Rhinolophus ferrumequinum: one gene and its partner. The protein of the gene in region 2 interacts with the protein of the main gene of each other region in a biochemical or structural test. Links are inferred from orthologs where the notes say so. Each region holds a gene or a part of one and is shown on either strand. Other genes may lie near its edges.

The links.
Region 1: the proteins of ARAF (region 2) and GNA12 form a complex in vitro, tested with the Homo sapiens proteins (2 studies listed by BioGRID). The link is inferred for Rhinolophus ferrumequinum from reciprocal best matches to the Homo sapiens genes ARAF and GNA12.

The regions. Positions count from the first base shown.
Region 1 is NC_046307.1:43,054,402-43,066,185, reverse strand, and holds the start of GNA12 (guanine nucleotide-binding protein subunit alpha-12), read right to left. Parts: upstream 5,066-11,784; 5' UTR 5,003-5,065; coding exon 4,691-5,002; intron 1-4,690. UniProt on the Homo sapiens protein: Guanine nucleotide-binding proteins (G proteins) are involved as modulators or transducers in various transmembrane signaling systems. Activates effector molecule RhoA by binding and activating RhoGEFs (ARHGEF12/LARG).
Region 2 is NC_046284.1:86,425,798-86,436,757, forward strand, and holds the start of ARAF (serine/threonine-protein kinase A-Raf), read right to left. Parts: upstream 4,818-10,960; 5' UTR 4,726-4,817; intron 3,405-4,725; 5' UTR 3,346-3,404; coding exon 3,250-3,345; intron 3,094-3,249; coding exon 2,990-3,093; intron 2,226-2,989; coding exon 2,123-2,225; intron 2,033-2,122; coding exon 1,878-2,032; intron 1,767-1,877; coding exon 1,668-1,766; intron 197-1,667; coding exon 55-196; intron 1-54. UniProt on the Homo sapiens protein: Involved in the transduction of mitogenic signals from the cell membrane to the nucleus. May also regulate the TOR signaling cascade. Phosphorylates PFKFB2.

The DNA of each region.
Region 1 (11,784 bases), on a different chromosome or scaffold from region 2:
AGAACATTGTTTTCACGTGTCCATAGAACATTTACCACCACAGGCCCACAGAATATATACCAAGATATACCATTTCTGGGCCAGAAAACAAACCTCAACAAATTTAAAAGAATTGAAATCATACAAAGTATGCTCTCTTACAATAATGGAATCATAGATATCAATAACAGAAAGATAATAGGAAAATCTCTAAACACTTAGAAACTACAACACACTTCTAAATAATCCATGGGGCAAAGAAGACATTTCAAAAGAAACAAAAATGCATGTGAAACTAAATAAAAATGAAAATACAACATATCAGAATATGTGGACACAGCTAAAGCAGTGCTAAGGAGGAAACTTAGAGCACTTTAAATGCTTACGTTGGAATAATAAATAAATAATAAGTAAATAATCTAAGTCTCTATTTCAGGAAACTAGGAAAAAAGAGCAAAATAAATCCAAAGGAAGTAGAAGGAAGGAAATAATAAAGAGAAAAAAAATGCAACTGAAAACAGAAAAACCATAAAGAAAAATCAGTGAAACAAAAAGCTGGTTCTTCAGGGGGGAAAGAAAAGAACTCTAATAAACCTCAAGGAAGACTGATAAAAATAAAAAGAAGACACAAATCACCAATATCAGGAAAGAAACAGAAGATATGACTACTCTCACCACTCTAATTCAACATAATACTGCTGCAGTGAGGCAAGAAAAAGAAATAAAAGGCATACTTATTTGGAAAGAAAAAAATAAAGCTGTCCCTATTTGCAGATAACATGATGATGTATGTAGAACATTCCAAAGAACGTACAGGAAAGCCTGAGAATCAATAAGTATATTTAGCAAGGTCACAGGACACAAGATAGAGACACAAATATCAATCACATTGTTGTATATTAACAATGAGCATTTGGAAACTGAAAATAAAAGCACAATATTATTTAAAATTGCTCCAAAGAAAACAAAATACTTTAATATGAATATCACAAAGCACATACAGGATCTATATGCTGATAATCACAAAATGATGAGCAAAAAAAATCAAAGATGACCTAAATAAACAAAGGCATACCATATTCATGGATTGGGAGACACCACAGGAGACATGTCAATTCTCCCCAAACTGATCTACAGGTTTAATCCAAGCAAAGTTTTTTATAGACATAGACAAACGTATTCTAAAATTTAGTGGAAAGGCAAAGGCCCTAGAATAGATAAGCAATCTTGAAAAACAAAAAAATGGGAGAAATCATCATCTGATATTAAGGCCTACTATGTGGCTACAGTAATCAATCAACAAACAGTGTACTGGCAGGAGAGACATACAGATTGGTGGAATGGAATAGAGAACCCAGAAATAGACTCCCACTGATTTTTGACAAAAGTGCAAAAGCAATTCAGTGGAAGAAAGTCTTCAACAGATGTTGCTGGGACAAATGGATATCCACAGGCAAAAAAAAACAAAAAAACAAAAAAAATCCTTGACCTTATACAAAAATTAACTCGAATGGATCACGGATTTAAATTTAAACTGTAAAACTTTTAGGAAAAAAAATAGGAGAAAAATCTTTGGGATCTAGAGCTAGCCAAAGAGTTCTTAGACTTGTCATCGACAGTATAATCCATAAAGGAAAAAAATTGATAAACTGTACATCAAAATTAAAAACTTTGCCCTGTGAAAGACAAACAGATGAAAAGAAAAGGTACAGAACTACATAGTGGAAGAAAATATCTGCAAACCATATATTTGACAAAGGACTAGTATCTATGATATATAAAGAATTCTTAAAATTCAACAACAAAAAACGAGCAACCTAATCAGAGAACAGGTAAAAAAATGAAGAGCCATTTCACCAAAGAGGATGTACAGATGGCAAATAAGCACATGAAAAGATGTTCAACACCATTAGCCATGAGGGAAATGTAAATTAAAATGGCAATAAGATAGCACTTACACACCTATCAGAATGGTTGAAAGAAAACAGTGACTACACCAAATGCTGGCCAGAATGTGGGGAAACTGGATAACTCCTACACTGCTGGTGAGAATGGAAAATGGTGTAACCACTTTGGAAACAGTTTGGCAGCTTCTTATAAAACTAAACACACAACTACCATACAACTGAGCAATTTTACCCCAGATACATGAATATTTATGTACAAACAAAAATGTTCATAGAAGATTTATTCATAATAGGCAGAAACTGGAAAAAAACCCAGATATCCTCCAACCTGTAAATGGTGAAATGGTGCACTGTGGTAAATCCACTTACACTCTTGAAATGATAAAATTACAGAGCTGGAGAATAGACGGGTCATTGCCAGGGTGAGAGAGGAGGAGAGGGGAGGGAGTGGCTATAAAAGGAAGCAGGAGGCGTCCTTATGGTGATGGGAATGTTCTGTATCTTTTGCCATGTAAATATCCTGGCTATAACATTGTACAACAGTTTTGCAAAATACTACTATGGAGGGTAACTGGGTAGAAGGGACATAGGATCTCTGTATTACTTCTTACAAGTGCATAGAACTGTACAATTAGCTCAACACTAAATCCTTGTTTAAACACAAGCATTATTCTGAACAGTATCATTCAAATGTCCACTATTAAAACCACCACAAAGCAATTTATTAGGAAGTCTCTTCCCAAAGTGATCTGTCCAAACAAAGATGGGGGAGGGTAATTTTTGATTTTAGATTGAAAGCTAAATCTAACTGGTTATTGACATAGTCACAACAAATAAAGTGAGCTTAATATGGAACTACAATTTAATAAAAAAGGCGGGAGGGAAAATAGGATACTGTTTAACAAATGGTTTCTGTTGATAAGGAAGTCAGTAAAAGCTAATGTTTGTAGGCATCCGGAAAAGGTTAAGACTGAGTTTTCTGAAACACACTTATACACTGATTTAGATTTAAGATTCTATGTTTCTAAATATTTTTAGATTTAGTTCCTGAATTTTAAGAAACTAGGAGACAATCAGCCAAATCTTTATGCTCTTATACATGCCCGGTTTGGAGGTCCAGAAAGGCAGCAAAAATAAAACCCGGCTCAGCGACAGAGCAAGACAACCAAATGCACTTTGCCCCAGATGATGAGGGGAATTTTAAACACAGTCTTTCCCCTGCATCACCCCGGGCACCCAGCCTTTAAAGATGAAGTACTGGACCGGAGCTCTGACTCAGAGAGACTTTTGGAAGAGGTGAAAAGAAAAACGGTGTTTTATCATCGTTCAAATTATTCTCTTCCTGTCATGATCCTTAAAAGAGCTATTTCTATTATAATGAAATATTTTAACAACAGATACATAACGTGGGAATACTGGTATGAGGCTGCCGACGCTGTCCTGGAAAAGGAAGGCTGCAAGTCTGGAGCCCAGAGTCCCAGCATCCAGGTCCCAGGGAGGCGCCTCTTCATCTCCAAGGCAGGAAGCTTCCTCGTGGGTGAAGTGAAAGAAAAATGTGCCAGATGGGTTCTACCGCCTTTGCTAAATTTAAAGTCCCTCAGGCACTATAAAATCTAGTCTCCAGGCAGCTTTCTGGTATGACAAGCTTCCCTCTTACCCCTGCTTTGAGACAATTTCCTCATACCTGTAATTTGGTTTCCCCAAAATTGGCCTGGGAAAGTTAGGTGAGGGGGCAAGGAAAGGGTGATGAGAAACAAAAAAAGAAAAATGGAAATGACCGTGTCTAGGCGCAGCAGAAACACTACTTTCCCATCATTCGTTTTCTCCAGATTCCCTTTTTTCAGGGACCTTTACCAGAGGCTCACAGTAGAGAAATCAGAACCCAGACTTTCTGTCAACTCTACAGGTTTCTTTCACAAATAAATTGCAAAGAATAAAAACCGAGCAAGAGACAGAAGGAGAACCTGGAGGTTATACAGCACTTAAGAGATATAGATTTAATTTGTACCTTGATACAAACAAAACAATTATGCGCAATAAAGGAAATCAGAACACTGGCTGGATATCTGATATTAAGGAATTATACTGTCAGGTTTGACATCGGTACTGCGGTTATGTGTTTTGAAAGAGGCCTCATCTTTGTGCAAATGTTTTCTAATGTAATTATACCCTGTCCGCGATTTGCTTCAAAATCACAGGGGCAGGAGTATGGGTGAAACCAGACTGGCACTGAGTCGATCACTGTTGAAGTTGCGGGGCGGCGCGGGGACGTCCAGTTCGCTGTACTCTTCTACTTTGTACATGTTTGAGATTTTCCTGAGGAGCAGTTAAAAGGGGGAGACTTGGGGCCAGTTTCCTCTCGTTTACACTGCTCCTCTGAACCTACTGGGAGGGCAGGGCAAGCGGGATGGAAACGGGAACGCGCAGATGCCGTTCTGCAGGGGCGCGACCTCGTCAGGGAGTCCAGGAGGGGCCCTCCCCACTTCCGACACCCCCTTCCCGTCCCTCCAAATCCCCTGAAGTTGGCCAGCCTTTCCACTTCCACGGTCCCCAAGTGCCCTAGAAGGGCAGAAGCGAAGCCATCAAGCCGACAGGGACACAGGGTGCGCAACCTTGGCCAGCTCCCCAAAGCTGGGGGCACCTGGACGGCCGGCGCTGCTCCCAGCCCGGGGGCCAGACAAAGGGCTGGGCCGTCGTCCCGGCCCGGGCGCGGTGGTCCGCCGGGCCGCATCTGCGCAAACCTGGGCGCCACTTGCGCGCACCTGGGCGCAGGTGTGCGGGCGGGGACGCGGGGACACACGCACCTTGAGGATGTTGTCGAAGATGGTGTCGCGGAACTCGAGCAGCGCCTTCTGGTCGAACTCGCGACCGTGGATGATGCGCATCTGCTTGAGGAAGGTGGACTTGCCGCTCTCGCCCGCGCCCAACAGTAGGATCTTGACGAGGCGCCGCACGGCGCGCCGCTCGCGAGCCAGCCCGGCGTCGATGTCCCGGCTGCGCCGTCGCGCCTCACGCTCCGCGTCGCGGGCCCCGCCGCCGCCCGCTCTGCGCTCGCGGGCCCCGCCGGCCTCGGCCGGCAGCAGGCAGCGGCTGAGGGTCCGCACGACGCCGGACATGGCCGCTCAGGCCATGGATCCCGCCGCGGGCGAGGCGAGCCCCGCGCCGCAGCCGGCCGCTCCCTCAGGCCGCGTCCGCCGCCGCCGCCCCGAGGCCCGCTCTCGCCCGCCGCTTGGCCCCGGCGGAGGGGCGGGGCGGCGCTACTCGGGGCCCGAGGATTGGGCAGGCTGCCGCCCAGACGGACGAACGCGCCTTCCGATTGGGCCATGTCACGCCGAGAGGCGGGCATCCCTCCGGCCCTCGGGGCGGGATCGGCGCCGAAAGAGGCGGGATCTTTGGGGTGGGGGCGCTTCCCATTGGACACCCAGGCCGAGGTCCTTTCTTTCAGAATGAAAGGGAGGCGGGGTCATCGGAAAGGCGGAGCGGACGCCCGCTTTGACCAATTGTAATTGCTCTGAGGTCACGTCAATCACGGCGAATGGGCTTGGGATTGGGGAGTTTTGCGAAACGGGGCGGGACCAGAAGTGCCAGGTGTACAGAAAGAGTTCCCCTGGGTTTTCAGGTTAGCTCAACCTGTGAGACCAGGTTTGCAGAATGCTCTCCGCGTTGCCCCAAAGCTAGGGTATGCCGATAAGAGGTCCAACTGCTCGTCTTATGTTTACAGAGAAAGCTGTTCTTAAACTATTATTCTTCCAGAAACACCGGGGGATGTGGGGGGAGGGGAATGGGCCATACATTTCGGACAAATGCACCCTTTGAGAGCGGCATAGGCCTCTAGGAGACTTTTCTCAAAGCTGGCTAATCAGCAGAATCACCAGCAGCCCCCAGAAAAAGCTTTTTGTAGCACAGTGATCGAGAGTGTGGTTTGGAGTTGCCGAGTCTGAGAGTTGGAATCTGCACTCGACCCCTTACTAGTTGACTAGTTGAATGACCTTTTAGGCAGCTCCCCCTTTGTCCCCACACCGGATTTTAGCTTCATTTTCCTCTTCTGTAAAATGGGGCGGTAATAGCTACTATCTCATACGGCTGTGAAGCTATAAACTGAAAACATGAACTGGTAAAACCCTTCACGTGGTGTCTAAGTTCCTGCTAAGTGTTGGCTGATCTCATTACAGAGTCTTAGTGTTGAGTCAGAAGCTGCTGGAAGAAACTCAGGTATCTCTTAATCTACAGGTGATTGGCCAGATGTGGGAACTATGGTCTGTTAAAAGAGAAACTGAGGCATATTAAGAATTTTAAGAGCTTGAGGAAAAATCGATTCCAGCTGGGCATGGCCAAAGGACAAGAGCCAGGGGAAAGACTGACATAGCGAAAGTGCGGAAGCAAAGAAAGGACAGTATTTGATTGGCTACAGCTTAAAAACTAGTCGGCTGTTTGTGACTGGTTGTCCTTAGCATTTTGATTTTGTCACCTGGAGGCATTTACAGGCTTAGAGTCTGGTTTTCTTACACAGGGCACCACGGCGTTAGAACCACCTCAGTCTAGTCAGTGGCCACCTTGTTGAATTATAACAGGTCTTAAAGATCATCCTGTCCCAAACCTCGTCACCATGTACAGCTGTGTAAAGAGTATCCTACAAACAAATGACTCCCACACAAGGGCTGACTAGAGCCTACTCTCTCTCACACTATCCCTTTGCCCCAACTGCTGAGGGATATATGCACTAGAAAAAATTAGTGCATGTATTTCACTCAGTTCTACAAATAATTTTTGCATCATCATGAACACACCAGGCACTGAAGACTTCTGGAGAAGAATCGGAAGACAGAAAAGATACAGCCTTTGCATCAAGAAACTCACACATTAGTTAGGGAACCAGACCGCTCAAGTAGCTGGGCAGAGTGCAGACTCTTGGATCCCTAGTTTCTGCCAGAGAACTGTGGTACTCAGTGTTTTAACTGAGAGATCTAAACTCCCTGAGGACCTTCTGAGACCATGGCATGTGGCATCCGTCAATTACTGAGGCATGAATTTGTGTCCCTTATGAGTCAACACATCACCTAGTCCTTTGTCATCCTTCAAAATGATGAAAAAGAAAGTCTTGTTTCTTTATGAAAATGGACTTCCAAAAAAGCCAAACACTAGCTTTATGATCAAAGTGAAGAGAAAGTCAAGAGGCCTCAGAAAGCAATGTTTCTTAGACAGAAAATAGGAATTTTGAACAAATAAAGAGGGGGATGTGGAATTCAGCAGTGGATCAGTTAGCCCTTTGTGCAATTAAAAAAAATTAAGTAAAGGTGTTTCACAAAATACTTTAAGCAGAAGTAAAAAGAACCAAATAATACATCTAAAATGAAAAATATAATAATTGAAACAGAAACTTAATAGATATGTTAAGTTGCAGATTAAGACACAGATGAAGAGAATAAACTGGAATATCTGAAAAAAAATTGCCCTGAATCCAACACAGACAAAAATACGGAGGATAAGTGACAGGAAAGACAGAGGAAGAATATCTAACATATTTAACCAGAGTTCTAGAAGGGATTCCAGAGAATGAGGAAGAGGCAATATTTGAAGTGATAATGGCTGAGAATTTTAAATTGACACATGGCACAAAATGCTTAGCTTGATAAATATAAAGAAATACAGACAAAGATTACCATAGTGAAATTGAAGGGCATCAAAGATAAAGAGAAGATCTCAAAAGCAGTCAGAGAGAAAATAGTGATAGCTATTATTTATATAATAGTCACTAGATGCCAGGCCCACGCTAAGCACGTTGCCTCTATTAACTCATGTAATCTTCAGAGGAAACACACAAACTCAGAGCTGATATCTCAACAACAAAAGTGGGAACCACATGGGAAATGGTATCTTATGCGCATTAAGAGAAAATAACTATTAATCAATAATTGTAAACTCTGTAAAAATATCTTTCAAGAAAATGAGGACATTTCAAACAGAAGATTATTTTATACATCGTGTGTTATGGGCTGAATTGTGTCTCCTTCCCGAAATCCCTATGTTGAAACCCTAACCTCAGCACCTCAGAATGTCACTATATTTGGAGACAGGGCTTTAAAGAGGTAATTAAGATACAGTGAAGTCATAAGGAGGGCGTTGATCCAATATGACTGGTAAGAAAAGGAAATTTAGAGACACACGTGGGCAGAAAGTCCACCACGTGATGACACAGGGAGAGGGCAGTCACTCCCAAACTTAGGAGACGGGCTGCCGAAGAAACTAACAGTGCCGACACCTCGCTCTTGGACTCCCAGGTTCCAGAATTGTGAGAAGATAAATCTCTGTTACTAAGTCACCCAGACGGTGGTACTGGGTTATGTCTTAGCAATCTAAGGCTCATCTTGTCAGCCTTAGTAATCTAACACAAGGTGCTTCATGAAGAAGGAAAAATAGTCTCAAAATTAAGGTCTGCGATACAAAAAAGATCGGTAGACACTTTGTGAACATATAGGTAACTTTTATCTTTGACTCCATTAAACAGCAATAATAATTTTAACTTGTGGAGTTGAGGAAAAAATAAAACTAAAATACCGGACACTAATGGCGTAGATGTAGGGAGGAGGCAATCATAATGAAAGTGTTCTAAGATCTTTCAATGGTTTGAGAGAATATTTTGATTAATGTTAAACTTTGTAGACTTAAATATTCATATTAAAATGTGTGGGTAAACACAGAAAGAAGAGAAACAGAGTGCATGAATTCCACACTAGCAGAGGGGGAAATGGAATGAGGAAACAAAAATCAATCAATACAAAAGAATGCAAAAAATGAAGAAAAAACAAAAATAAAAACAGGGCAAAGAGCAAAATGAGAAGGTGGAAATAAATTCAAAGATGTGATTCATCAAATTAAATGTAAATAGACTAAAATAATTAAAAATCAAAGACTATCAGATTGGATAAAATAAAAATAAGGTCCAGCTACATGCTTATAAAGGACCCAGAAAAGATCAAAGTTAAAGAATGGAGAAAGGTTTACCAGCAGATAGCAACCAAAAGAAGTCTGGCATATCTATACGAATAGGAGACAAAAGAGATTTTAAGTCTGAAGCATGACTAATGGTAAAGAGAGCCCTTTCGTATAACAGAAACTTTAATTCACTAGTAGGACCTAACAATTCCATACTTGCATGCAGCTAATAATATAGCCTCCAATATTTACAGCAAAAAAAATCGACAAAACCTCAAGGAGAAACTAAAGAATCTACCATCATTGCTGGGGTGAGGGTTAAATATACTTATTCTACAGCAACAATTAACAAGTGTGACGTAATAAATATATGTTGATAGTGAACCCAATAATTAGAGAATACACACTCTGTTCAACTACAATGAACATTTTCAAAAATCGACCACATACTTGACCATAAAGCAAGTTCCAACACATTTTAAACGATTGGTATCATACAGACTACATTCTCTGACCATGTTGCAATTAAATTTGATATCATTAACATAAATATATCTTCTGAAAAGTCTAAAGTTATAGAAATTAAAAATATACCTTCTATGTAAACAGCCCAGCTTGCTAAACTTGTTTGTTACTGCATCCTAGTAAGAAGATTCTGGGGTTGTTTGTTACTGTCCCATAACCTAATTTATCCTTACGATACGACCTCCATGTGGTAATGTGTTCTCTAACAGTTAAAAGCAGGGGCTCTGGGGCCCATCCGTCTGCATTCGAATCCTGGCTCTTCCTCCGCTGGTTGTGTGATCTTGGGCAAATTACTTCATTTTGCTGTGCCTCCCTCTTCCTCATCTGTGAAGCGGGAACAGTAATGGTAGCACTACAGTAGTAAACCAGGTTGAAATCACTGAAGATTAAATGAGATGACATAGGTAAAATCCTAAGCAGAATGGCACAGAGTAAGGCCTCAATCAATGTTAATCATTATCACCATTATTGTCTTCATAGTACATTGAAGCTGCTATTCGGCAATGTAGTCTCTCGCCCCAAATCATACACTGAAGAAGCGGCCAAACCAGAATTTGAATCCCAGTATCTGGACCTCACTCGGCAGCCTGTGCTGTCTGCATAGCATCCTGGGTCTCCCCCTGCGCAGCCCCTTTGCATGACTAAGAACAGGGTCACCACCCTCCTCCTGCTGCCTCCCCACCGGCCCACCCATCTGAAGAGTCTGTAACCCAGTCACCGTCAGGGCAAAGGCTGCTCCTGCCCCAAGGCCGTGGCTCCAGCTAGTCCCTCAGCCCAGAAAAGGGCCTGCCCTCAATTATCTCCCAGGCTTTCACCCACTAGAGCTAAGTTCAAATACTTTCTCAGGAAGTCTTTTCTTACCCCAAACTTCCCCACCATACCCCACCAAACTAGGCCCAGTTCCCATAATCTTCTCTCAAATTAATTGTAAATAGTGCCCCATCCTTTTCGTTCTTAGCATGCATCACACTTAAAATTATTTGTGTAATTACATGATGATTGTCTGTCTTCCCAACTATGTCTATGAGGCAGGGTCTGTGTCTATTTAAGTAAGGCTGGAGCCCCTGTGCCTGCACACAGTAGGGACTCAATCATTTGTTTGGTAGATGGGTGGAAGGAAGAAAGGAAGGAAAGAAGGAAGGAGGGAGGGAGGGAGGGAGAAGGGAGGGAGGAAGGAAGGAAGGAGGAGTAAATGGATGGATGGATGGATGAGTGGATGGCAGGCTAGTCCCCAGGGGCCTTGAGAGCACTGCAGAGGGCTCTCTCTTTAGGATGAGCTTTGTCACTTCCCTTGGAAGTGGACAAGGGGATTCTCCGGGGTGCTGCCAGCCATGGTTTGGAGGAGACAGTTGTCTTGCCAGTTAACTATCTCATCCAAAGTCAGCACATTTTTAAGGAAGAGTCAATCGTGAGACCCAGGCATCATGTGCAGAAGCACTTCCCTAGTTGAACCTAGGTTCTACTTATTTGTCCCCCATGCCTCAGAAGGGGATCATTATGAGGACTAACCGTCAGCAATTTTGAGAACCACGTCAGCAGGCGACTTCCTTTCTCGGCACGGATCAAGGTTAAACATCACAGGTTGGTGTGTGTTATCATTTTATCCTGGTAACAACACACGGAGTCTTTCCATAACCTTGCCTGTGAGGAGTGGAGAGGATCTGGGATGTCTCTGGGAGATGCTCAAGAAGCAGCGATCCAGGTTGTCAGGGACGTACAACGCACAGTGAAGCAGAGGGACCCAATTTCTTTAAACTTAGTTTAGCTTCACAAAATGCTCCTAAACCCAAGATGTATTTCTGGCTCCCACTTGAAGATTGTTTGGCAGATCTCTTTCATGTCACCTCAATCCAGGATCCAGGCTGACGCTGCAGCCACCATCTTGAACACTGCTGGTCACTGAGCAGGGGGAAAGAAAGATCTCTGGAGGGTTGTGCACTGACAATTAGATGCACACCCTGGACGTGACGTGCCAGTTCTGCACACAGCTTATTGATGTGATGGTTGGTTTTGTGTGTCTGTTTGGCTGGGCTCTAGTACCCAGTGACTTCATCAAACATAAATGTACAGTTGTTATGACTGGAGGTGTTTTATAGATGTGGTTAATCTCTACAATCAGTTGACTTTAAGTCAAAAAGATTACCCTCAATTGTGTGGGTGGGCCGCACCCAATCAGTTGAAGGACCTTCCCAGCAAACACTGAGGTTTCCCAGAGAGGAAGTAATTCTGCCTCAAGCTGGCAGCATGAGCTCCTACCTGACTTTCCAGCCTGCTACCTGCCCTGCAGATTTCTGACTTGCCAGCCCCACAATCATATGAGCCAATTTCTTAAAATAAATATTTACTGACATATGTAAATATGGCATAAGTCTCTTGATATATAATTATCATATTATTGTTTATATAATGTGATATATATGTGTGTGTGTGTGTGTATATA
Region 2 (10,960 bases):
GAAAGGTTCTCTCCTCTGCCCAGTGGTCCCGACACTGCCCCCCTCGACACCAACCTGGATGAGGCTAGAGTCCATCGGGGCTGTGGTGCTGACCATATGGACGTTGGGGGTGGACGTGGAGCGGATGCGCTGGAGGGGGGCATTAGCCGGGGTAGAGAAGGGGAAGTGCTCAGCGTCACGGTGCTGGGTGTAGGAGCTGCCAGGGGAAAGGCTGTGGAATCACTGTCAAACGAACAGAAGCAGCCACGCCACCCTCGCCCCGTCCTAAACATGTGTTTAGCTCACAGAGTAAATATCCCGTCATTACTATTATTCATTTGTTCTAGAAACATTTATTGAGTGCCTGCCATGTGACAGATACCATGCTAGGTAGTGGAAATAAAACTGGGGGCAAAACAAATAAAGGTTCTTGCCCTCATGTGGCTGAGTTCCAGAAGGGAGAGAGAGAAATTAAAAAAACAAAATATTTAATCTGTCTGATCGATTCGATAAGGAAAAAATAAATCAAAATGAGGAGACAGAAAGTGTCACTATGATGTCAGGAAAGGCTTCTTTCTCTAAGGAGGTGACATTTGAGCAAAGACCTAAAGAAGGGACAGTGAGCCACACAGTGGGGGAAAGAGTAATATATATCATACTTTATAACAATATGTACTATTCAAATATATTATGTACTATATAATGTATAACATATGCTCTATATTAAAATGGCAATGTTTCAAAATATACATATTATAATGTTATATATGTTATACATACGTGTTCTACATATACATAATGTTACAAAAAGCGTTTTTATTTTAAGGAGGGCCCAGCTCACAGTGGCCCAGGAAGGGATCGAACAGGCCACCGTGGTGTTATTAGCACCACGCTCCAACTGAGCTAACCGGCCACCCACAAAAACATTTCTTAATGTTCCCTTCCACTATTCTCAAATTCATACTTACTTAATTCAATTACACCCCCAATTAAATATAACATAATGCCCTAACTTTACTATTTTATATATTATATAAAAATATATGATGCTCTACATTATATAAAAATATTATAAATATAACACATGATACATTAACATAATATACCGTACAAGTATAAACATTATAAAATACATAATATAGACATAGAAAACACATGTTTTATAAACTTACGATATATTAGAGCAATAATCTTTTTTAACATAGAAATACTATATAGTCTTATAATACTTAACATAAAGAAGAAATAAAAGGGAATTTATGATAAAATATATATATTTCAAAATGGGAAGGCCTGAGCATGATTATACTGGAAGAATTAATAAAGTAGTTAGATGCTTTGATATACATAAACATACATACATATATATTTATAATTAATAAGGAGAACCTTTATACTCTGTATTAGATCTTGTTCTAAGCATCTGATATGTCTTAACTCACTTAAGCCTCACCAGAACCCTATGTGGCAAAAAGTAACATTATCCCCTCTTTACAGATGAGAAAACTGAGGGCCAGAGAGATTAGGTGACTTGCCCAAGGTCCCACAGCTCCATGCCCTTACTCATACTTGTAGGTGTTCAACAAATGTTTGTCAAGTAAATGAATGAATAAAGAATGGCTTGTGGTCTACAGGGGCCTCCAGATCTTTCTCTCCCAGCAGCAGCTCTTCAGCTAAGGCATCCCTACCTGGGACCCTGGGGGGTTAGCGGCTCATTCAGGGGGCGGTTCAAGAGAGTCTCATGCTGTCTGGAGCCTCCGGACAAATCCTGGACACTGTGGTAGAACCTTGAGGACATTAAGGGTATAGAGCAGGGGACAAGGGTGAGCTCTCTGTAAGAACCTTGTGGCTGGGCATCTGTCCTCCCCATCCCCCCATCCACCCCAGGCCAGGCTCACTGTCGGCGGTTGGTACTCATGTCTACACAGACTGTGGGGACCTTGGAGGAACAATGCTGGTGGAACTTGTAGCCACAGGTTTGGCAGCGGAAGCCATGGAAGAGAAACTTAAGGCAGAAGTCACAAAACGCCAGGCTGAAGAACGTCTTCCGTACCTGCTACCACAAAGCAGGGAAGGGTGAGGCCTGGTCAAGGACCCTCCCCCCACGCCCAGGGTCTGCACCCACTATCCCCCCTGCACTCACAAAATTGTGCATGGTCAGTGGGACATCTTCAAGGACCTCCACAATGAGCTCCTCGCCATCCAGGGGGGCAATGGCAGTGTCCCAGGAAGTGACTGTCTTTCGCCTGCAGGAGGTATGAAAGGAGTGAGTGGGAGGGTGGACAGGGCCTCGGGGAGGCAGGGAACCCCTAAAGGTACCTCCAAGTCTGCATCCACGGAGCAATATCTACCATGTTTCATTCCCATCACGGCAACCCTAGGAACTAGTTATTATCCTTACCCCCATTTTACAGATAAGGAAGCTAAGGCTCAGAAGGATAAAGTGACTTGCCCAAAGCCACAAGGGACTATGAGTAGCAGGACAGTGTGAAGAGGCCATGCTCTTAACCACAAGGTGAGAAGCAAATGAGATGGTGACTAAACAACTAAATCTCAGAAGTGCTAAGGAAGCCCCAGAAAAAACAGCCGATGAGGCATTAAAACAACAAATACATAGCAATGTGTGAATTGAATAAAAAAATTAAGGAACCTCAGAACAGAAGAATAAATGGAAGGCCCAACTCAGCAGACAGATAATGGGAAAATGGAGGTAGGACAGAGCCAACAAATTGATGAAAAAGTGAAAGAACAAAAGAGATGAACTCTGGAAGGAGGTGATGGAGCAGGGTGAAGACTTGGGGGTCAAAGAGAGAGTGAGATGTTGACCTGACAGGCCAATGAACTAACGAAGTAACGAAACAAAAGCTGGATGGACTCACAAATTCACTGAACTAAGTAAGGCAAGACTAACGGAGACTCCACAACAGAGTGAAGGAGTCGGATGACGCTGAGGAGGAGTTGGGAGGCTGGGCACCCAGTGGGCAGAGGACGAGGTGTATGCCACACTTACCCCTTGATGAGCCGGTAGACCACGCAGCAATCCTGATTGAGACCCCGCACCTTCAGGGCCTTGTCTAAAGAGTCGTAGACACTCATGCCATCCCGGACAGTCACCTGTGCAGATGTGGGGGATCAGTGCCCAACAGGGGCCCCAACTAACTCTCCCACCCCTCGGCCAAAGCCTCCTCCCAGCCCTAGTTACCCTTTTGACCCAAGATTTACAACTGGGTCCATCCACACCCCTACCAGGTTTGCTCCCTTCAGACTCACTACTGTGCGTTGCTTGTTGGGCAGGTACACTTTGACAGTGCCCACTGCCCGGGACGGCTCGGCCCCGTTGGCAGGGGGGCCCCGTGGTGGCTCCATGGAGCCTAGGACTTTGTCAAGATGGGCTGAGGCGGGGCTGGGCAGGTGCCATGGGGCTCCTAGAAGACAGAGGAGGAATTCAGAGGTCCAGTAATGATAGTCTGGAAGCACAGTGGCAGGAAACAAAAAGAATTTCAACCTCCAGGCTCCACGTCACGCCCAGTAGCCTAATTTCCACACAGCAGCCCAAGGGAGCCTGTTAACACTTTGAAGCCGATCCAGTTCCTCCTCTGCTCAGCCCAGCCAAGATCTCGGATTCACTGCATGGGGCCAGGTGGGGGTGGGACGACACAACGAGAGACAGCACACACTGTCCTGGAGGGAACAGGAGTACAAAAGTCTGTGCTGGGGGCTAATGGGGAAGTCAGCACACGGTGCACTGGGGTGTGTCAGGTACATAATGGACACGAACAGTGTCCCGGCTTTTTAATGGAGAAGGGGGTTACCAGATACTATGCTGAGGGAGGAGTCACAGACAGAGTGAAGGGGAATGAATGGAAGATCATCAGCTATTGCCCTTCGTTTGGGGAAAATGGGAATTGCACCAAAGAGTGTTCTTAAGGGTACTGTGGGCATCCCTACCTAAGCCCTGGCCTGCCATGACGGCAGGCTCACAAACACTGTTAGGTGGCTAATGGGAGTCACCAGACTGTGACGGGAGATCACAAGGCTCAGCAGACATTATGCTGAAGGAAGATGTAATAGAGGTCACTAGAGACTGTAATGGGGAGAAGAATGGATAAGGTGGTCACCGGACACTGTCATGGGGAAAAGGAGGGTAATGGTGAATCATTAGTCATTGTTGAGGTGAGATGAATAGAGGTAAAGCAGGGAGGCTCCAAAATTCTCGCTGACAACTAAGGGGTGACAGACATATTTCTGGTGATAATGGAAGGAGGCTGGTGAGGGTTAAGGAGGAGTAAGGGGGTAATCCTCAAACATTCTCCTAGTGGGTCAGACACTGATCCAGAAGAAGCAAGCGAGTAGTGAGCCGCGTCCCCATGCATTCCCCACTGTTGGTAAAGAAGGGTCATCAGATACCTTAAGAAGGTTTACAGGGGATCTGGGAACAACACACCACAGCCCAGGCCCAATTCAGCCCTGCCCCGCCTACTGAGTGCCTTCCAACTCTGCGCAGGCGTGCTACCACACGCGACGGGCGAAACCATCCCCCCGCAGCCTTGCACCCCTATTCCTGTCTACCCACCACTACCCCCCGCTGTCCGATGGTCTCGCCCCGGGTCAAACCACTCCTCCGGTTCCGGGCAGGGGGCGCCGGGGCCCAGGCGCAGCCACCCTGGAGCTAAGCTTTCGGTCCCGGCTCCTTGCCCATGCCCGGCGGTCGCTCCAGAAACCTAACCCTGCGGGGCCCGCCCTCACCTGTCAAGCTGCAACGGCCGCAGCCGCCTCCATCTTGGGCCTGTCTTCTTGTTTCCTCATAGAGTCCGCCTCCACCGCCCCTCGGACTTTCGCCATTGGCTCCACAGGACTCAGCCCTCTATCCTTATTGGATTAGGGTCACGCCTATCAAGGCAGGATAGGCGGAATGTGGGTCTTGTTCCGGATTAGGAGGGGCTGCTTGAAACGTCTGGGTCTGGGGCAAATTCGCACGTCCTGAGTCGCGCAGGCGCAGTCAAGAGACCTGCGTGCCAGGGGCTTTAACCCAATCGTACCGTGGCAGAATAAAGTGGGGCTTTTTTTCGGTCAGTTGGGTCTGACTTTAGGGCTTCCTGAATCTGGGCGGAGAATCCTTAAATGCCCCTTTTTGTTCCAGTGACCCGGAGGCCTAAGTAGCCGTTTGGGAGTTTCCTGGGTCTCCGTTTTACCGTCTTTGAAATGGGTTGGAATCAGACCAAATATCAGCAACGTTTTCCAATTCTGAAAAACTGAAGTCCTAGCCTTAGATAACAGCGGGTCTCTAGTGTGGCCGGCCTGGGGGTCTGGAACTAGGAAGAGTGGCCTGCTGTTCTGAGAGCTGTCCTTTAGGAATGGGGTTGATAAGGATTTTGTAAGGCTAGTCATAGATGGCCAGGTGAAGAGGGGAGGGAAGTGTGGACCTGGAATGGGGCACAAGTGCAGGGAAATGTATGGAGGAATTGAGGGGTAATTACAATTTTTTAGAAGATGACTTTTACCTGGTGTCAAAAGTGAAAGAGACTTTCCACCCTCCCTTTTCTTAGAGCATTTCCTTTAGAAAACTTGTAAATTTTTTTGTCCCCTCGAGATGTATGTAAATCTTTTTACAAGCTAAATAGGCTTCCTGCCAGTTTTACAACCCAAGGATGTTGTTCTTAGGGGCCTTGGAGTCATCTCTTTGAAATGCAAACATCAACAAAGATAGCGCCCCTTCTCCGTCAGGTAGGAATTTGACCTAGGCGTCTGGCGCCAAGTTGTTAGCTGCTTGTCAAAGAGATAGGTGTTTTATTTTTTTTCTTTGGATAAAGACAGATGGCTACCCCAGTTACCAGGTGAATTTGAGATGAACTGTGTAGCAAAAGGTACTGTCAAGTTCTCTTACTTAAGGACAAGTTATTGCCTTTCTTGAGAACAAGTATGTAATGGCTTGTATCTCCCCAGCCATTTAAAGGATGAGGTTTTACTGTCCTTGCAATCTCTTTAGCGAATTGCTTGTGATGCACATTGCAGTCTGGTTTAACACTTTTTGATAATACAGTGCTACCTCGGTTTTCTAATGTAATCCGTTCTGGAAGACCCTTCGAGTTCTGAAACGTTCGTAAAGAGCCGACAGCGAGGTGTCGGGATCCTGCACTCAGAGGAAGCCGCGTGACATGTTTGATGTGTTCGAAAACCGAAGCATTTACTTCCGGGTTTATGGCATTTGTAAATCGAAATGTTCGTCAACAGAGACGTTTGAAAACCGAGGTACTACTGTATAACTATTTAATTCTTTTCTACCTCTGTGGGGAGGATTCACCGGTTGGCACGAGATTTCACTTTTAATTTTTTGAACAGCCTGTTGTTTGAAGTGACTACATTCTCCTGTTTGGAGCCTCAGCATCCCTCTGATGAAGTGGGAAGGATCAGAGAAAGGTCATTAGGTGAGGGGGCCTCAACATACTTCAACTTGTATTTATTAAGTGCTTTCTCTGCCTATAAGGAGAGAGACAAAAGTTCTGCTTACTAGGCTGTCATATAACCTCTATTTCCCATCGTTTCTTTTCTATTAGGATCTTCACCATTCAATGGCTAAAATGAAAAAGACGGAATAAATACCGCATATTTATGAGAATGTGGAGCAATAGGAACTTTCATGCATTGCCATTGGGAGTGTAGAATGGTACAACCACTTTGGAAACAGTTTGGCATCTTCATGTAAAGTTAGACATATACATACCATGCAATCTAGCAGTCTCATTTCTCAGTATTTACTCCAGAGAAATGAAAACATGTCCAATGGCGTGCTCATAACTGTTTAACAACCAGCTGTCCAGGAAAAAAGCTCTAATTTGTAGTGTTTGCCAACTAAGACATAAACACTCCCACCATGGCTTATTTCAAGCTACTAATATGACACCATTGAACCAGAGTTGAGATTTGCAAAATTGGCTCTGGTGAGCCAGCCACAGCATGCTACTGCAATGTACCCACACAAAAATTTATACTCCAATATTCATATTAGCTTTATTCATAATAGCAAAAAAAAAAACTGCAAACAGACCAGGTGTCCAGCAACAAAAGAATTGACCAAGAAACACAAAAATGGGATCCTGGAATACTACTGTTAACCTAAAATTAGAAGGCCAAAGTGAGAGGCAATGAGCATTTATTTGAGATCCAAAGAAGAGCTATTTGGAAAGCACTGATTCAGGCAGAAACCCAAATAGTGTTCCCATTAGGAGGCAAGGCAAGAAGTATTTATGAGAAAGCGATGGGGAACAATTACATCAATAGAAGGAAGGCATTTCTGTAAGTGAGAATAAGCTAACAGTGATGCTAGTGCTAAAGAATGTTTTGAACTTTTCAGTCCATTAGTCATATTATCTGCTTTCTTGTTATCTTTGCAAACAGTTTTTTGGGGATTCCATGCTGCTTTAGGTCCAGTCCAAAGGTTATTTTGCCCAGTTTATGCATCCCATAGGTTTGAGGCGGAAGATGTGCAAGGCAGTTCCTCTGGGATAGCAGCTCTGACTCCATTTTAAAGTGGCTCCATTTATATTACTTTTCACACTACTCAGCAATGAAAGGCAACAAACTACTTCATGTGTCTATCTTACAGACATAAGATCGAGTGAAAGAAGCCAGACACAAAAGATAAATACTGTATTATTCCATCTGTATGAACATCTAAGCCAGGCAAAATTAATCTATAGTGAAGGAAAGCAGAGTAGTTGTCTTGTGGGAGAATGACTGAGAAGGGCATGAAGGAACTTTTGGAGGTGACTGGACAGTTCAGTATTCATTTATCAAAATTCATCAAACTCTATACTGAAAATGGGTACACTTTATTGTATGTAAAATATACCTCAATTTAAAAGAGCATGGCAAAAAAGGGGGCTTCAAACATAATTTTAAACATGTTGAATTCTTACAAATTCTTAGTGATTAGAGTTGTTTTTTTTTTAATTCTCTTTTCTGATTCGAAGCCCTAGAGCCGGCATCCCCATCTCCCAGTGGTGCAGCCCTGGCACCACATGGGGTCAGAAACAACTCCTGTTGGAGCTCAGTGAGGGGCTCCAAAACGCTCTCCAAAAGGAAGAATAATGTCAGGGGTGGGGAGTGCATTTTAAATTTCATTTCATTTGAATATTATTTAATTTATTTTAGAACTTTAATTTCTAGGCAGTATTTGAAGACAGACTTCTGGCTCCGTTGCACAACATTTACAAAAAGGTAAGCAAAATTCGACATGCTGTGCCAGAAAGGAGGGATGGAGGATGGAAGAGGGTCATGGCTCACTCAAGGACAAAGCTTTCTCCCTTAGGGACTCACTCCAAACCCATCCCAACTGGCACGACTTCAGCCAAGTACTTCACAGGTACTTAACAAGTCATGAAGGCCTTTAAAGTGACTTGGGTTTTTATCATCATCATCATCATCACATTAAAAACCATCAAGCGCACCATATATTAAAACAAAAATTAAAACCTGAACTAGCTGATTGTTTTTTCTGACATTCCCCTCGAAATTATCCACCTAGAAATTTTAAAAGATTTTAAAATGGTTGTTGGTTTTTATAATTGTTGATTTTCAATTCTTTGAAATATGTCTGAAAAACATACAAAATCTGAAGTGTTCACCAACCACTGTTGTAACCCTACCCATTTCACAGTTGATCCAATTGAGGTTCAGGCTGCCCTAACCGGAAGGACAGAGGAGAGAGAACTCCAGCATTTCAAGTTTGGTAAAAAGTGTTTGAACAAGGGTGTAGGCCAGGGGCACGCCCCTCTGTAAGGAATCTTGGCTCCGCCCCAGCAGTCCAGCGTGCCTGAGGCTCTCTAAACCAGCCACTCCCATTTCCCAACTTCACCACCCTCGCTCTCCCTGCCGCCGCCTGCAGAACGCCACGTCCGACAGCCCATCGCACAGCCTCCCGCTCCGCTAGCTACCCGTGTCGGGAGAGATGACCACGCACAGACCGAGACAAAACTGAGTGCCTCACTGGCCCAACTGAGAAGCCTCAACTATCCGCTCCGCTAGGCCCCCGCTGCGGTTTGGAGTGAGACATTCAGTGTTCCAGGCCCCGGACAGGCAGCGAGGTCACCCAATAGCGATGCAGTGGAGGGCGGGCTTTGGGATGCCACGGGCATTGATAGGCTCTACTTCACCCTAGCATTTAGAACGAGAAGAGACTGGACTTTGAGACTCCGAGGAGCCACTGGCAGACCAATAGCTACGCAGAGGACGTGGGCTCTGGGCCGTCCCAGCCAATGGGAGTAATTGTCCATCTAAAGCAGAGTATGGAAGTTTCCACTTTTGAATATTCCTTGAAGAGATTTTTAATACACAATCCTGGGGTCAAAATGTGGGAAATTTACAAGTGAACCTAAACATTCCTTTTAACAGTCCTTATTAAAAAGTCTTTCCTAACAAAATGCATTGAGCAGTAATTTGAATTTGTGATCACTGCGATCCAAATTGGTGCAAGTCACACTATTAAACCACAGACAGGGTTCTTTTGTTTTCGATTAATTTTTTAACAGTTCATTATACGATATATATGGTATTCCCATGTGTTCATAAAATTAAACAAGTGTGCAGGTTTGTATATTTTCAATTTCCAAACCCAAGGATCAAATGAATAGAAAAAATAATCGTCAGTTACCTCTCAATAAAGGTGGGGAGGGGAAGAAAAACTAATAATTAAACCAAATAACAGTCCTGTAATTTTTTTTATTAAAGATTTACTCTGATGAGGAAATTCTTTGGTGAGTATGATTATTTCTTATAAATAAAACAAGGCTCAAGTATGAAAATATTTAATAGTCAAGCAAAAGGATCAATATAAACCTACAAACTGAGCAGTGACACCCCCTTTGAGATGCAATGGACAGTGGCAAACACCACTGGTCCTCCCAGGTAGCTCTTTTGGTAGGGATAATAATCTGATATGGTCCTTGGTAATTTTTTAAGTTTTTAATTAATTAAACTGACAGCATTTACCCAAAGGAAGTGATTCTGAAATGTCTACTTTCGGTTTTCATCAGAAATGCATTTGGTACAAATTTTCTCAGAGTTAACATATTTATTCCAAGCACATATAGACTGATCCACAGTCCCATCAAAGGTGAAAAACAAAAGTTTAATATCTGTTGGCTTACCTCACACATATTTGGTAAATCTCTATTCAATTTATAAAACCACTGTAAATGAGATGTCAGACAAATGTACTCCAAGTAAATTTTCATTATTTCTGGATAAATGACCCACATGTGATCTTTATATCATTCTTGACACAATGCACATGTTATATATAATCCTTTGTATATATAAAATAATTCCTTATATATAAAATAATTCCTTATAGTTTTTTTTCACTTTATATATGTTTATTTGTATTTTTAAAAAGCATAATGGGCCCCTCCTCTGTGCCAGGCACTGCCAAGACATTAAAAAAAGACATGGTCTCTACCCCTAGGGGTTCCTGATCTAATGAGGACTTCAGCCACAGGGAGAAAATTTCTATCTAACAGGCTCTGCTGAAGGGACATTGGATGCTGTGGATCCCTGAAAAGTCTTTCCCTAGGAGGGAACATTTGCGCAGTCCTGAGTCTACAGCTGCATTGGCGGGTGGGGGTGTCTCTGGCCAGTGGGTACAGAATCTGCTCAGGAGTAAAGTGGCCACCTCTAGCCATGGCACCTGGAACTCAGGGGAAGAGAGGACAGGCCTGAGTCAAGTGGCCTTGGGATGGAGGAACCGCAAAGGGTCAGGCCTAGGAGGCAGGGGAGCATGCATCATTGCCCCTTGTCCTCCCCATGGATGCCAGGGCTTCTACTCCCAGGGTGGGGCTGAAACTGGTATCCCAATGTGCTCAGCAAGGGGTCGGGGTACTCCCAAAAGACAAGCTGGAACCTGGGCCTCCTCACAAGGATACAGGCTTGAATGACTGTCACTGGGCACATAAAAACCTTGGGCATTGTGTCAGGTCCTGATGGT